3 linked regions of the Drosophila melanogaster genome follow. The protein of the gene in region 2 interacts with the protein of the main gene of each other region in a pairwise test. Each region holds a gene or a part of one and is shown on either strand. Other genes may lie near its edges.

Region 1 (5,447 bases), on a different chromosome or scaffold from region 2:
TCGACATATGCAATGAAAAATCGCATAAAATCTGAGAAAAGAACACACATGGTAGATGTAAAAGACAGAAGGAATTATCCACTATCAATTCATTCCCGATTTTTGTCATTGGACCTCTTGTAATAATCATCAAAATTCCATAAATTTAATCGCCTCATAAGTTCGAAATATTTTCCATGTCAGACGTGATCTTTTTTCGATTCGACCATCACAAAAAAGATGAAACTCTGACCTCAATTGCATTTTTTCACCATTTATTTATCACCGTGAAAATGTATCAATTTATTGCCAAGACAAATGTCATTTAATCAAAAAAAAAATGTCTAAGATGTTCTAGCATTTTATTTTTTTAATTTATTTTGGTATTATTTTACCGAAATAATCCTTGGGAAGCAATGCAAATTTAGATCGTATTCCCATCGCCCGCCTGTCAACGCTGACAGTATAATCTGTTGATCTATTATATCATTTCGACATTTTTCGAGTAGTTCCAACTCTTTTTACGATTTCCAATGTTTTGTCGTTGATTTTATGGGCACTTAATGTGCCATAAAAGTGGACAAGAGAGTGAGGGGTTCTTTTTTCGATTCCAATTGGGGGGAGTTGTCATCTGTTTGATTTTGGGCCCGATGTTTTTGGGCTGTTCGGTGCATTGACATTGAACACCTTTCGATATTCTCAGGCCTTTGTTTGCATTCGAGGGAGTCAAATGAGCAGTCAAATCAATCGCTGCAGTTGTTGTTTCTGCTGTTGTAGCTGTCATTACTGTGTAAACAAGTGACATCTGGTCATCCTCCCCCCTTTTTGATCCCCCCCTTTTGGATGAGTACACGCCTCTGTTTGCCTTCGGATAGGCAACCATCCACAGCCACCAATTGCAGATGCATCTACATACAAACGTGCGTGCCATTAGGTTTACACAGGGGGTCGAAACAATAGGAGATCAAATGTTATGTTTCAACAGGGAAATAAATCTCGAAAGGCCTTCAAGCTTCCACTATGCATACACTTGAAAACTAAGCAAGACCAATTATAATGAAGCCTTAAGCTAAACCTATTCAAGCTGCTATTATCTTGACCACTGCTGTACGACTTCATCTAGTCATTTGGCATCAATTGACGATTGTCTGGCCCAGTAAGCGCATCCACATCGACCAACTGCCACCAGCAGAAGCTGCATTCTGGCCAGGCACTTGGCCTTATCTACCAGATACAATCTGTGGCATTCCGCGCAAGAAAATTAAGCAATGAAAAGGGGCAACAGCAACAGCAATAGCAACAGTTGGAGCAACAACAATGCGGAGCATCAGAAATATTTAATTAAATGCTTAATTACGCTTGCCATGCCATAAATTCATCAAATGCAATTTAAGCCCGCGCACACGAACAGATGCAGATACTTTTGTATCTCCTGCGCTTCTCTACTTCACCCATAGCACATCGGTATCTGGTTTCCTTCTCTTCTGGCCTTTTCATTCATTGGAAAGTTCAACTGCAGTTGCAATTGGAGTTGGGCCATCATTTTACGCCGCTAATGCCTTAACTGGCATAAATCCCAGCCGCCTTTTTCCTCGCGTCCATCCTGGCGGCACTTTTAGATCATTAATCCGCGAAAGATCAACGGAAAAGCTGAAAATAAAAAGAGAACAGCGTTCGCGGAACGGCTTTTAAGATCCTCAAAAAGGGGTGTCCTATCTAGATCTCAACTTATGATAGGTCAAAGTTGAAACAGTAGCCATGGAGGTGGGCGAAACTGATACTCTTTTCTTCCAAGCTAATTTATTATAGGTACACCAAATTCTCGGTATTTCTCTTTGAGATTGCGCAATCCATTCAATTAGGTCTTCCTTCAATTGATGGGAAATGCATCTGATCATCTGCTTATCTGATCAGCTCCAATTAGTCATGATATATAGAGCAATATAGCAGCGAACCGTTGAACTTCACTGATTTGGCAATCCAATTCGATTGCCATTCGATGGCCGGGTAATCCATCAAACTGCCTGCTGATCCTATTAAACCAATCGCTGGGTAATCAAGGGTCAGGTCACCCAGCTCCATCGGCTCCATGGGGGGTTTCTTTATTTCTTTGAGGGAAGGGGCGTTGCAATTGACAAATTTCGAGCGATCGGAAAATGAAAACGAAATGCGAGCAATTACTTTCAATTGAAAATGTCAAACATTGTCTTGGCCCACAAGCACACACTGAGCGAAAACTATATTTTCAACAGCACTTGGATGCTTGGATACTTGGATATAGAGATGCAAACACACCGTCGGATATTTGTATACAAATCTATATCTAAAGTCAAGCACTTGAGGGCCAAACGCAAGCACCTTGGGCGGAAATGCGATAACCCTGAGCGGGCGGGGAAAAGACGGAAAGTCGGCAAGTCGAAAAGGCGGAAAAGCGGAAAATGGGAGCGCACATGTTGGGCGCTTTTAGATGATTTTTGGCTGGCTATCTGCTGTGGAAGGAAGTGGGTTGGGGGAAATGGGAAAATTGGAAAATTCGAAGATTGGGAAAGCCCCATCACTTACCGGATAACATGGGCGCCAAGGCAGTGTCCGTCGGCGGATGATGGTGTCCATTGAAGGAGTTGTTGTGCGACTCCTGTTGCTGTTGTTGTTGCTGCTGTTGGTCCTGTTTTAGGGCGGCCGATTTTCCGGGCACACAGCCACCAATGGGCTTCTTCGATTTCCACAGTTTCATCTTGAGTTTTCTTTTCTCCAACTTCTCCCCAAATGGGAAAACGCAGCGATCTCTACGATTTTTCAACACTCATGGCAAATTTGGCATTTTCACAAAAAAAAAACTGTATATTTAAAAAAAAAAAAAAGGTAAAGTAAATTTAAAAACGAATTCGGTTTCCAATCGATATCGGGAAATTCGAAAACAATTTGGAAATTCAACGGCTGCGGCGGCGACGGCGACTGCGATGCGACTGAACCTGACGATGCGCGCACGTCCGCGGAGCACGGCCAAAAGTTGCACAATGAGCGATCTTGCCGCCAGTACTAGAGGTGGTAGAATTAACGATGTAACATCGATAGTATCGATGTTGCAGAACATTTTTGTTAACTTTGATGTTGAATTTTGTTATTGAATCCTTTATTGCAAATGAGTTTATATTTTTAGATAAATTTGTAGATAATAGTTAATCGAAAGTTTTTGTATAACCCGTATTAAATGTGTGTATGTATATATATGAAAATAAATAAGTAATAATAAAATATATTTGTATGTTTTAATTTTCATATTTATTAATACGAATACGAATGCACACAAAAAGAACAGAAAGAGTAATATTTTTCGTTTATTTTTCGATAGTCAATGTTCTCGCCATAAAACATCGAAAACATCGACGGCGACGAGCATCGATGTTTTTCCAGCTCTAGCTCTAGCTGCGTGACTCACTCGCGAGGAGAAAAGGAAGAGAAAAAGGAGAGCGAGAGTGGTGCGTAAGCGGAGCGCTTTTTGGGGAGTTTTGGCTACTGGAGAAAGAGTTTTCTCTCGCTCTTACTCTCGTCCTCTCTCTGGCAGAAGAGTATCCCATTGGGGAGGCACTCAAATCACAGACCGCCACTCCAAAAGCGCCGTTATGAGCCCGCTGATGAGCCGCAGGCATGACAATCAGCTGCTTCTGTTAACCGTTAAGCGGTAGTCCGAAATGGTTAATGGTTTAGTGTGTTGGGGGAGGGGTGACTTGGGTTTTGGCCTGTGACGCCAAACGCCAAACAACGAACGCAGAAAAAAATGCTCCCAAAACGGGTGTCGCGAATTTGCTAATTAGTCACGAAAAGCGCGACGGCAACTGCTCGAAATGGTCAACAGAAACAGGACACAACAAAAACCGAAATGAAATGAACCAAATCGGCAGCACGCAACCAGTGAGCACATCTGCTGAAACCAACAGCTGGTATTAGCCATGCACTAAGCCAACTAGAAATGGTACAAACTTAAAAGGGCATTCAGGAAAGTTACATTTTGAAAGTTTAAAACATAAAAGCCAATTTTGATCTACAAAATTTTAAGTTCACCTCAATTTAACATCCGATTGTATGTTTTGCTCTTATTTATTTTACAATTGTATATTCGTTACACTGGAATGTTGTTTGCATAACATGTCAATGCTGCGATCAATCAGATTTTGGGCAAAGTAAATATTTCAGCGGGTGTTCCCAACGGATGCCCCCAAATCCTGACCCCGAGGGCGATGACATGAATACCGTTTTCCTCTTGTACACCTATTAATACATATTTATATGTGCCTTAAATCCGATTTAACTGCAAGTACAAATGTGGCCACCTTTTAGGTTAAAGCTGCGGATTTATGGGTGACTTGGTAAGGCCCATTCCGCCCCCAAAATATTTCACATACATATGTATGTATGTGCATACATACGTACATATAAATTTATTTTTATGCGATTCCCTCTTCCGTGTTAAATGCTCTCTTCCTTTCTATCTTTTTTTTTTTGGTGGCTCGAGGTTTAATGTCTTTAATGACCTCGACTAATGATCGAAGCTGATTGATTCAGCAGAAACGTCGAAGGCACTCTCCAAGTTTGTCTGCCTTATTTTTAGATCCCCAGCCTTATATGCCCCATTCCCCACTGCCCAACCCCGTACGAAAAATTTAATTCCCAGTCCAAGGTGTCACTGCTGCAGGCGGAGAAAGCAGGACGGAGAGACGCGGATTGACTGACGAGTGCCGAGAAAATCGGGGAAAACTAATGCGACACATGGGAAAAATGCTCGTTGAGCGCACAAATGAAAGCACTTTCCGTTGCCTACATTCAGGCTGAGAACTCAAATCGGAAAACCAGGAACTACAAAAATATACATATTTCACTCTACATATAGTAACTCTGTTTATTCCACTGTAACGGAATAACAACAACTGTTCGATGAGTTTTTGTCTTTCGCGCGCTTTCCGTCACTCACAGTATTTCTTTTCATTTTACAGTTATACTAGAGCTCTCTCACGAAGTATAAATTGGTTTACAGTTACGAACAAGAGAAATGGCACACCAAAAGTAATGTGCCATGTGAATGGATTGAATATATCATTGTAGTTTAGTATCACTAGATACAACAGTCCCTGCAATCCTTGCGAAATGATTTCGCCAAGCGTGTGTGCAGCATTATTTAGTGTGTTAGTGTTAAATAGCTATATCGCCCAAGTACAAAGTGAATTATCAGCAGCAGAAGTCGCTGGAGATCCGAGTGCTGCCCAGCTGCTGCCCAGTTCCTGTCGCAATGGGTTGAATGGCAGTAGCTCTGGCCCGGAAATCCGTCTGCCCTTTGTGGACATGATGGTGCGCCATGAGAAGCCACTCTTTGTGCTCCGCGAACCGGAAGAGGATCTACTTTTACTGCTCCATGGACACGAGATTTTTCAGCTGCACGTGGCCACTGGGGAGAGGCGTCTAGTGCCGCTTGG
Region 2 (4,373 bases):
GTTTGCGGTACTCAAGGGACCAGGTCTGTGCATAAACATTGGACTCCTCGACCCCACTTGCGTCGAGTGGTAGCGCGATCTCGGGAATGTCCGGAATACGGGCTGAAGCTGCAGTGGAATCTCCGCCGCTGACCGCTTCCCCCACAAAGGCGGCAACATCGGCAGGAGAGGGTTTTGTTTCCAACTCATCCGACATGGATTGTTGGTCATCATGTTCCTCATGATGCTCCTGGTCCGTCTCCTCCTTTCTGTCGTTGGATTCGCCCTTGGAATTGTAGCAGCAGAATGCCTGTTTCTTGAGATACTGCAGGTGACACCGGTGACGCCTCAGGTTCGTTGTGGATTTGTGGGTGAAGGACATAATGCTCCTGCAGCCGATGCAGAACAGTACGTGCTCCAGAAAGCTACCATCGTCCTTCTTGATCTTGCGATACACCCGCCACACAGTGCTCCGTGTGCTTTTGTCATTAACAGCCAATTGGTAGACGCCGGTTTCAATTTTCTCGTGAATATCATCGAATTTTAGCGGCATCTTGAATTATTTTGCTATTTTGTTTTGTTTTGTTCAACTAGTCTTTATCATCCACATCGATTGTCCATAATCGTGCTAATCGATTGCACCGCCCAGGTGGCAACCCCGATTAGAGGCACATTGCGCCGGCAATTTTACATATATCATTTTGTTTTTATTATTTTTTAAAGTGTTTTCTTGTTTTCCTACCTGGTTTAAATGGCGGCATTGTGCTTAGACTTTCTCGGCTTCCAGGTGGGGGTTGGAATATTGTTGTTTGGGTTAGTAGCCGGCATACTAAATGGCTTTAAGTTTCCAAACAGGAGGCACTGAAGAAGATGCGAGATGTGGACGACAAGATTATATATGCACTAAATGCCCTGCCAACGGAGTCGTTTAAGGGTCAAGTGAACAGTGAAAGCACCTGTCGCGATCTGTACGCGAAGCTCCAGGAGTCACACTTGGCCAGGGTAAATCCTGATTAAGTACAACACACGGGGATCTTGACAGATAGCTTCTCCTTGCAGCAAGAAAGCATACGCAGTTGCATAACAATTTCGGCTAGTAATCTGAAGAAGCTAAGGGAAAAGCGGGAGACCCAGCCGGATGATGTGGATACGGATAACCAGTTTAGGGCGGAGCAGCGCAAGGTAACCGAAATACCTAAGTCTTACTCTTAACTGATGCCTATGATCCTTTCCAGCTGCGGGTTCTCCAGGCCGAGCTCAATGTCGAGGACATCATTAAAGATCGTTCCTACAAGACCTTCAATGAACGATGCCGGTCCTATTTTCATGCTGGCCAATAGGTGGAACAAATGCAATGACTAGTTTTAGGTGGATTTATTAGCAGAAGTCTCATGGAACTGCCAAGCCAGAAGGCATTTACATGCACTCCGTTGTATTACAAGTTGTTTACAACAAGTACATAAATATAACAGTCTAAAAAGCACAAACTTTATTCGTCGCGGGGCAGGTTGTATGTAGCGTAAACCGATCCGACGGGTACGCATTTTAGGTTGGCCAAGGCTTCCAGGACGCGCTGGGTGGCATCCTTTAGGTCGTTGTACTCGTGCAGCAGTTCAATGATCTTCTTTTTCTGACCCTCTGACGTTTCATTTGTCTTATTGGCCGTTTTGCGCGACTTTTTCTTATTTTCTTTCATGTTTAAATTAAATGCAATTGGATTGGAATTACTGCTATCGGTTGATATCGCTATCGATAGCGCGTCAGCTGTGTGCATTGCATTTTGACAGTCCGGCATCCCCGTTCCTCACAACGTGTAAAATCTCCCGTCCCCTTGCATGATTAAGACGAGAAAAGGATTCTCCGGAACAGGTAAATTGTGTTCTAATTACGTATCTGAAGGCGCCTCTTCTAACCAGGAGTTGTGGTGGCTCAAAGAAGGGCGTAACCGGAGACCAGCGAATGGCTCATGCTGGCTGACCTAAGCCCGCACCTATACGCACAAACGCAAAGCAGCCGTGTGTGCACATATGTACATACACGTACAATGAAATGTGAAAGTGTTGTGATTGTGCATTTTGCCAGGAAAACTGAATAGTTCATTAAATGTGAACCTATTATATGTAAATTATTCGCCTGACAACGTAATCTTTATGTTTCCGGAAATGTAAAATTAGCCTAGAGCAGGCGCTAAGCGAATGTTCAGTGGTTACAGGGCGTAATAATCCTGGTGGGAGTGGATGAGAACATTGGGGAACACCTAGTGATGATTATAAACGTTCAATTCAACTAGTTCGCATTCCACGACGACCTCTACCTATATTTTCTAGATTATTTGCACTTTCGTTTAGCATTTGATCACAGTAGCGGCGAAAATCAAGTCGCACTCACTTTTTATCTGAAACCTGTCTTTACGACTTAAATTATTCTGTTCTCAAAGAAATATTTTTTTTAACTATTTCAAGCTTTTGAATTGCCAAGACGACGAAATGTCTGCCAGCCACAAACAGCGTTATAAAAATGCCGCCTTGGACTCCACAGAGATGCGTCGTCGTCGCGAGGAGGTGGGCATCCAGTTGCGAAAAAACAAACGCGAACAGCAGCTCTTTAAGCGACGCAATGTGGTTCTTGAGCCGGCTACATCCTCAACATCAGCCGGAGTGGAGAGCAACACCGATAACGAACAGCAGGTATATTTTGATCAAGTTTGGCCTGATAGCATAGTCTTAACTATCTCTCCATTCCAATGCAGGCTGCCGACATGCACATGGCTGACAGCAGCACTGGCGGTCAAAACGAGGAAGCTGCTGGAAGCGGGGCACAGCCATCCGTAATCAACGAGGAAATGATTCAAATGCTCTTCAGTGGACGTGAAAACGAACAGCTTGAGGCGACTCAAAAGTTCCGCAAACTGCTGTCCCGCGATCCCAATCCTCCCATTGAGGAAGTCATCCAGAAGGGGATAGTGCCACAGTTTGTCACCTTTTTGCGAAATAGCGCAAATGCCACGCTGCAGTTCGAGGCCGCCTGGACGCTAACGAACATCGCATCGGGCACCTCGCAACAGACCAAGGTGGTTATCGAGGCCGGGGCAGTGCCTATCTTCATTGATTTGCTCTCCAGTCCCCATGATGATGTTCAGGAACAGGCCGTGTGGGCCCTAGGCAACATAGCCGGTGACTCACCCATGTGTCGAGACCATTTGCTCGGCTCCGGCATTCTAGAGCCTCTCCTGCAGTAAGTTATAAATAATTATATTGATAAGATTGCGCCAAAGTAGGTGTGACTTCTTGCAGTGTATTGAGCAACTCGGATCGCATTACCATGATACGGAATGCGGTGTGGACACTTTCAAACTTGTGCCGCGGCAAAAGCCCTCCCGCAGACTTTGCCAAAATTAGCCATGGTCTACCAATACTGGCACGGTTGCTGAAGTACACTGATGCGGATGTACTAAGCGATACTTGCTGGGCCATAGGCTACCTGTCAGATGGTCCCAATGATAAAATCCAGGCTGTAATTGATGCGGGTGTTTGCCGTCGCCTGGTTGAGCTGCTATTGTAAGTAGTCCTGCTGCGCCATTACAAATTAAAATTACACTTATGATTTGTTGACCTATCCTGGCAGACATCCTCAGCAGAACGTGAGCACAGCTGCTCTGAGGGCCGTGGGCAATATTGTGACAGGCGACGATCAGCAGACCCAGGTGATATTGGGGTACAACGCTTTGACCTGCATTAGCCACCTGCTGCATTCGACGGCGGAAACAATCAAGAAGGAGTCGTGCTGGACAATCTCAAATATTGCAGCCGGCAATCGTGAGCAGATCCAGGCCTTAATCAATGCCAACATATTCCCGCAGCTGATGGTTATCATGCAGACGGCCGAATTTAAGACTCGCAAGGAGGCCGCATGGGCCATTACCAACGCAACCAGCAGCGGTACGCACGAACAGATCCACTACCTGGTGCAGGTTGGCTGTGTGCCGCCCATGTGCGATTTTCTCACCGTCGTCGACTCGGACATCGTCCAAGTGGCGCTAAATGCACTTGAAAACATTTTGAAGGCAGGTGAAAAGTTCCAGACGCGACCAAATCCCTATGCTATTACCATCGAGGAATGCGGAGGTAACGCTATTTATTTTTACTTTCAAATTTCCATTTAAATATCGATTCTGTTAATATTATATAGGTTTGGACAAAATAGAGTATCTGCAGGCGCATGAAAACCGCGACATCTACCACAAATCATTTTACATTATCGAACAGTACTTCGGCAACGAAGAGGAGGATAGCCGGGTGGCTCCCGTGGCAGGCACGCAACAGTTTGAGTTCGATCCGGACAACATGCCCAGCACCGGATTTAACTTTTAGCACCCTACCGCGCAGGACATCGTT
Region 3 (6,488 bases), on a different chromosome or scaffold from region 2:
GCTGTTGTGTGTATTCGAGTGTTGGATTGACGGAACGTTGGAACATTGGAAGGTTGCAGGGTTCGGCGGGTTGGCGAGCAAGAGAGGTTGGAATAAACAAAGGGTAAAACAATTCGTTAGCATTCGGTGGGATTACAACTACAATTATTAGTGGGTATAACACTTTCTCATTTCCCTAGCGTACGTTCGACTTTTGTTTGCATGCGCGAGCACAACCTAACCTCAAACTCTTGCAGCCGTACAAAACGTGTTTTTTGAGGTTAGGTCCAGTGCCCGCATGTAAGGGTGTGGGTAAAACGAGTGGGGCGCAACTACAGAAAAGAGCGTGCAAATAAAATTCCATATGGAAACTCGATTTTGTTTCAGTGATTTTGGTATTTTTGCTTTCGTCAACTGTCTTCAGTAGCAGAACTGAAAAATCATCATCATGTTAAATCGAAGAGTCCAAAGGAAAATTCCAGCAAATTTAATTCGCAAATACACATGTGCTTATCTGCCTATGCGTGTGTATATCTATGCCTGTGTATTTGTGTGACGCTGTTGCCGGCCGGAGGAAAAGTAAGAGAGGAATAGAGAGAGAGAGAGACCAAAATGGCGGATGTGCATTAGTGTGCGTGTGTGACTTGTACAAATGCAAGCGATCTCGCCGCGGTGGCACAATTGGTAATTGGAAAGAAATGAAAAAGAGAGGGGCACACAACGAATTATTCAAGAACGTAGTGCAGCGGCAGCCATTTTACCAAAACCAATTATGGAGTCGGTTGGAAATGGCGAAATAGCTGATGCGAGTGCCATTTCACCAGATATGCTAATGGGCTGGAAACCCAAAAAAGCACATTTTTTCGCTTGTTGCCAGGCGAATTTTTTTCGCCCACTTGACTCACGCCACTGGGTCGCCATTTTAGAATTCCATGCCGCAAAAAGAAAGAATAAGGAATATCTATAGGTCATGACAAAGGCAAGAGAGAAAGCACGTTTTTTTTTCTCGGTTAATGAGCACATCTGGTGGATGACCTCTGTGTCCGGCGTGGGCGTGGCAAAGTAATTACACACTAAGTGCACCATATTGCAGGGCGAAAATGCGGCCGGAAAAGCCGGAAAATTATTTTGAGAATGCTGGGAACTTTAACTGGGAACGCCAGTTAAAATTTTTGCCTTTGCAGACTTGCCACGTGTTTGCTTCTATGGCCACCTTTCACTTTGGAAAACCGCAGTTAGAGGTTATCTCCGGGTTTATTACACACACACAGGAAAAACACTGGAAATATGCACAAATTCGGCGTCTCAGCTGCATATTTGTTTATAAATTGTTTTCTGGCTGCAGTCCCGTTGCAGAAATTACTTAATTATAGCCTCGCAGGTAAAACTTACTCTCGAATAAGCTGAATGAGAAATCACGAAGTCTAAGCGGCGACGGATTCGAACAAAGTGAACGAGCGTTCGGCAGAGCTCAGCACAGGAAGCCTCGTTTGACACATGGTGTGACCGAAGCTACGCAACTGTCAAAAGAGCAGAAACCGTGTTCTCACTGCGGTGTTTCCACTACGCGCGAATGAAGCACTTCATTTTATTGAAATTTAAGTGATTGAAAGTGGCAAAATACAATAACCTAACGATTGAGGGATTTAAAAAACCTTGTTTGCTCGACATTGTTTTTATATGAAAAACTAAATAATCAGTGATTCCAAAAATATTTTCTACAAAACGATGTCTATAATTTCTATACGTAATATTGGAACACATATCTCTTAATATTTAAAAACTATAACAATTGCATTAGTAGTCCGCATTTTGAACTTTTAGACTAGAACCTGAACTTTAATTTGTATGTGAACCCTAACGTAATAGAACTTTAAATAACAATAGAAGCTTGAGATCGTTTAAATTTATGTAATACGTTTCATTTATTTATACATTTTTTGGCGTCCGTTGCTACAACTAAAATATGCTACAAATAAAACTATAAGTAATTTGGTATTGTATCAATTTATACAATATTGTAAAAATTTATAACTTAAGATCTCACGTTTTAATACTTTTTCTTCTGGAATTCATCAGAATGCTAATATTTATTTGAATTTGTAACTTACTGCTTAATATTTTTTGTTAGACTATTTTTTCACTCAGTTTTCACTTGTACTCAATAAATTTATTCATTGTGCATAGAACAAAAGTTGTTAGCCTGCCCCTTATATAGGACGCAATTAAAAGTTCCTAAGTGTTTTCCTAATTTTGTGAAATTAATTAATTAGTTATTAATAATATGATTATTGTTATGCTTGCGAAATCAGTTAACAATAAATGCAATTACCATCTTTTATGAAATGATAATTTGACAAAATTTTATTATAAATCGGTATCAATTAAATTAATTTAAATCTAGATCTCAACTTTTCTGTGTGACTGGAAAGAATTATAGCTAAAGCATTTAAAACCCACACATATAGACATTAGTCATTAATAAATGATGAGCCATCTTTATTTATTGTTTACATATGCAGGAAAGCTCACAACTGAGAGCTTTTTCCAACTTTAGACATTTTCGGCCTAGCCCCACCTGGCCACACTACGACGAAACAGAATAAGAAGCGACGTGGCGAAAGAGGCAAAAAGCGAATTCAATCGTTGAAAAATACCGAACCGGTCCGGTACTCAGTTTTTGTTGTAGAAGTAGGCGTTCGACGGCCTAGTTGAACTTGAATTATTCACCGATATCGCTTCAAGTGAACCCAAATAATGATGTGGCGCCTTGCTGGAGTGCTCCTACTAGGCTTCATCGCCATCTCGTCCGGAGCGGAGCAGGATGTCCTGGAACTGGGGGACGACGACTTTGCCACCACCCTAAAACAACACGAGACGACGCTGGTCATGTTCTACGCCCCCTGGTGAGTTAGTGAGTGGGCGTGGCCGGGCGCCATCCTACAACAAATGCATTGCGTGTGCGATTCGCGTATAATCCGCTTGTTGCGTCCGCAACTTAATTCGATTCCCAATGCCCAGTGCCGACCGATGCCCGATTTTCCGGCCATCGCAAGCGCAAAGTACACGTCAGCGTTTGCCTTGCTTTTGCCGGCAAATAAAGAAGGAACGAGTGACGGAACGAAACGAGACGCAAAGAGAGGGGCAATGATGATATGCCAGTATTGGTGCCGTCGGCCATTTTAGAGCGCGGGGTGCCAAAGTGCCTAGTTGGTACAATTTCCGTGCAATTCCTGCTCCACTTGTCCACTGGCTAATGATAGTGAGCAGGCATAGGGGCCCCAGTGTACATAGCGCATCTTTTATTATAGTTTCTTATGCCTATGCATTATACCCATAATCCCAGGAATGTGTAATTCTAAGGGTTAACTTAGATTTAGCTTGAAACTGGTTATCATAGTCTGAAACACTCACAGTTCTCATACAAATGTAATTTCCCAACAGTTTACACCAACCATATTAAAACTTCAATTTTAATTGCCTGCCTACTCACAAAAGTTATGCTGATTGTGCTATAAATTTCTCATGTCAGTAGACACATTTTTAACTTCCATCGTAATCCACACTGAACACAATAACCTTTTAATACATTTTTGTTTAGTACATAACACATATTTACTGTGCCTATTTACTCTCTTTTGAGCCATTTGTTTGCCCATTATCAGGGGTAAACTATAAGCTCACACTTGGACAATGAACTAGGTAAATTATTAGCGTTTTTTTTGCCGGCCGGCTTTCGAAATCCCCAAAGAGCTGTTGAACTACTTGGCATGGAGACTTGATTCCCTCATGACGAACCTTATCAGTATTCAAGCATAAATACACAGGGATGAAGTTGAAAAAGTTGTACACTGCAATAAAACTGCTCTTTTCATTATAACATAGTTAACTTAAGGCATCACTTATCTTTATCAAAAATGAATTATTATCTGCACTGCTAAGAGTGCAGACTATACTCTGCTGTTTCAAATAAGTACCAAGTCGTTTTTCTCTCTGTATGCCTAATGGGCACTTGTACTTGTGTGATAAGACAGTTGATAATTCCAGCACCCTTACTTTAATTACAAGCTAGTTTTTTGGGAACTTGTCTTCCCGTTGCCTTGATAACAAATGATGAATTAGATAGTATTGTTACCAACATAATGTTTAAGTGACGTGTCCTAACAGAGTGTTTTTTCCTGTTTAAGGTGCGGCCACTGCAAGCGATTGAAGCCCGAGTACGCCAAGGCGGCGGAGATCGTGAAAGACGATGATCCGCCAATCAAACTGGCCAAGGTTGACTGTACGGAAGCTGGAAAGGAAACGTGTAGCAAGTACTCCGTCAGCGGCTACCCAACGTTGAAGATTTTCCGTCAGGATGAGGTGTCGCAGGACTACAATGGACCACGCGAAGCCAGCGGCATTGCCAAGTACATGCGCGCCCAAGTGGGACCCGCCTCCAAGACCGTGCGCACCGTTGCCGAGCTGAAAAAGTTCCTGGACACCAAGGACACCACGCTGTTCGGCTACTTCAGCGACAGCGACTCCAAACTGGCCAAGATTTTCCTGAAGTTCGCCGATAAGAACCGCGAAAAGTACCGCTTCGGACATTCAAGCGAAAAGGAAGTCCTCGATAAGCAGGGCGAAACGTAAGTGGGAGGCTCTAATCAAGACTCGTACATCTGTGTATTATGTGTTTTTCGTTTTATATATTTTCTAAGTGTTAATAAACTAGAGCCTAGTTGGGATTTTCATATTTGTTTAAATGTAATGAAAGGTTCATCCATTTCATTGTTCATTTAACTTGCTCCAAAGTTTTCTCCAAAAAGTTTCCACTTTTAGGTTTTTATGTTAAAATGTGTTAATGTAAGTAATTAAAATATCTGTGATGCTTTTCAATCCGTTCCAGCGACAAGATTGTGCTTATTCGTGCCCCCCATCTGAGCAACAAGTTCGAGTCATCTTCCATTAAGTTCGAGGGTAGCTCCGAGTCCGATCTGTCTACCTTTGTCAAGGAGAACTTGTAAGTAGTTTGGAAATGTTGTTACCTTCTGGCACATGTCCACTATTATTGCTCTCTACTCCAGCCATGGTCTTGTGGGACACCGCACTCAGGATTCGGTCAAGGATTTCCAGAATCCTTTGATCACTGCCTACTACAGCGTGGACTACCAGAAGAACCCCAAGGGAACGAACTACTGGCGCAACCGTGTGCTCAAGGTGGCCAAGGAGTTTGTGGGTCAAATCAACTTTGCGATCGCCTCCAAGGATGACTTCCAGCACGAGTTGAACGAGTACGGCTACGATTTCGTTGGCGACAAGCCAGTGGTATTGGCTCGCGACGAAAAGAATCTCAAATACGCCCTGAAGGACGAGTTCTCAGTGGAGAATCTGCAGGACTTTGTCGAGAAGCTGCTGGCGAATGAGCTGGAGCCGTACATTAAGAGTGAGCCTATTCCCGAGTCGAACGACGCTCCCGTCAAGGTGGCCGTCGCCAAGAACTTCGACGATCTGGTTATCAACAATGGCAAAGACACGCTGATTGAGTTCTACGCCCCATGGTGCGGCCACTGCAAGAAGCTGAGTCCCATCTACGAGGAGCTGGCCGAGAAGCTGCAAGACGAAGATGTGGCCATCGTCAAGATGGACGCCACCGCCAACGATGTGCCGCCGGAGTTCAACGTGCGCGGCTTCCCCACCCTCTTCTGGCTGCCCAAGGACGCCAAGAACAAGCCAGTCAGCTACAACGGAGGTCGCGAGGTAGACGACTTCCTTAAGTACATCGCCAAGGAGGCGACCACAGAACTGAAGGGCTTCGACCGCAGCGGCAAGCCCAAGAAGACCGAGCTCTAAGCTGCACGCCGGGTAGAACTGGCCGCCAACTAGCATTTCCATATTTTTGTAAAATCGAATGCATTCTCCACAATACTTGAGCAAAAAATGTATTAAATTATTTGATAGTGATGAAACGCGTACGAACACAATTTGATGATTATGTCGCAATAAACTTAAATCTTCATTTAATTAGTTAACCACTTTTGTTCTGCTATTTCGGTATTCATATTTCTTTGCCAGTTCTCATTGTTATTGTTAAACTATAGAAGACATGGTTTGCAAATTCGGTGTCTTACACATATCGTTCGTGTGATCGTCCAGCATCATCCGGAACCAGTCCGAAACGAACGTGTACTGATTGCGCCCTCGCAAGCCCTTGTATGATACTGTTCCTTGGCTCGCGTCGAACTGAAAAAGGTAAACGGTGCTGGGGCAGTCGATCGGCGCCATAACTTGGGAAATACAATTGAGTAGGTAAATCATGAAGTTGGCGCACACTGTGGGCGACCAATCTTTTTCCTGTAAATGAAAAATTTAGTTTCTTAAGTTAGTAGAACAAGAAATGTTCCTCGAAAGTTGCAAAACTGGGCGATAAACTTGCATAAAATGCTTGATTTAAGTATACTAACGCAAGACTTCCATAAATCCCGCACCAAAGTCTTTTCAATGTTGTGCACATGGGCGTTTTCATCGCG

What was found. Proteins that work in one complex are often made in the same cells at the same time.
Region 1: the proteins of CG14104 (region 2) and Grip interact in a two-hybrid assay, tested with the Drosophila melanogaster proteins (one large-scale study listed by BioGRID).
Region 3: the proteins of CG14104 (region 2) and ERp60 interact in a two-hybrid assay, tested with the Drosophila melanogaster proteins (one large-scale study listed by BioGRID).

The regions. Positions count from the first base shown.
Region 1 is NC_004354.4:5,963,832-5,969,278, reverse strand, and holds the start of Grip (glutamate receptor interacting protein), read right to left. Parts: upstream 3,001-5,447; 5' UTR 2,714-3,000; coding exon 2,542-2,713; intron 1-2,541. Other genes in the region: fs(1)M3 (female sterile (1) M3), read left to right, coding at 5,122-5,447.
Region 2 is NT_037436.4:19,805,472-19,809,844, forward strand, and holds CG14104 (uncharacterized protein), read right to left. Parts: upstream 1,729-4,373; 5' UTR 1,676-1,728; coding exon 1,469-1,675; 3' UTR 1,340-1,468; downstream 1-1,339. Other genes in the region: CG34116 (uncharacterized protein), read right to left, coding at 1-532; Ccdc58 (Coiled-coil domain-containing 58), read left to right, coding at 731-766, 835-981, 1,039-1,161, 1,215-1,319; Kap-alpha1 (karyopherin alpha1), read left to right, coding at 2,466-2,666, 2,729-3,213, 3,273-3,536, 3,604-4,103, 4,168-4,349.
Region 3 is NT_033778.4:11,887,068-11,893,555, reverse strand, and holds ERp60 (endoplasmic reticulum p60), read left to right. Parts: upstream 1-2,576; 5' UTR 2,577-2,736; coding exon 2,737-2,885; intron 2,886-4,166; coding exon 4,167-4,607; intron 4,608-4,867; coding exon 4,868-4,981; intron 4,982-5,045; coding exon 5,046-5,811; 3' UTR 5,812-5,988; downstream 5,989-6,488. Other genes in the region: cuff (cutoff), read right to left, coding at 6,049-6,312, 6,423-6,488.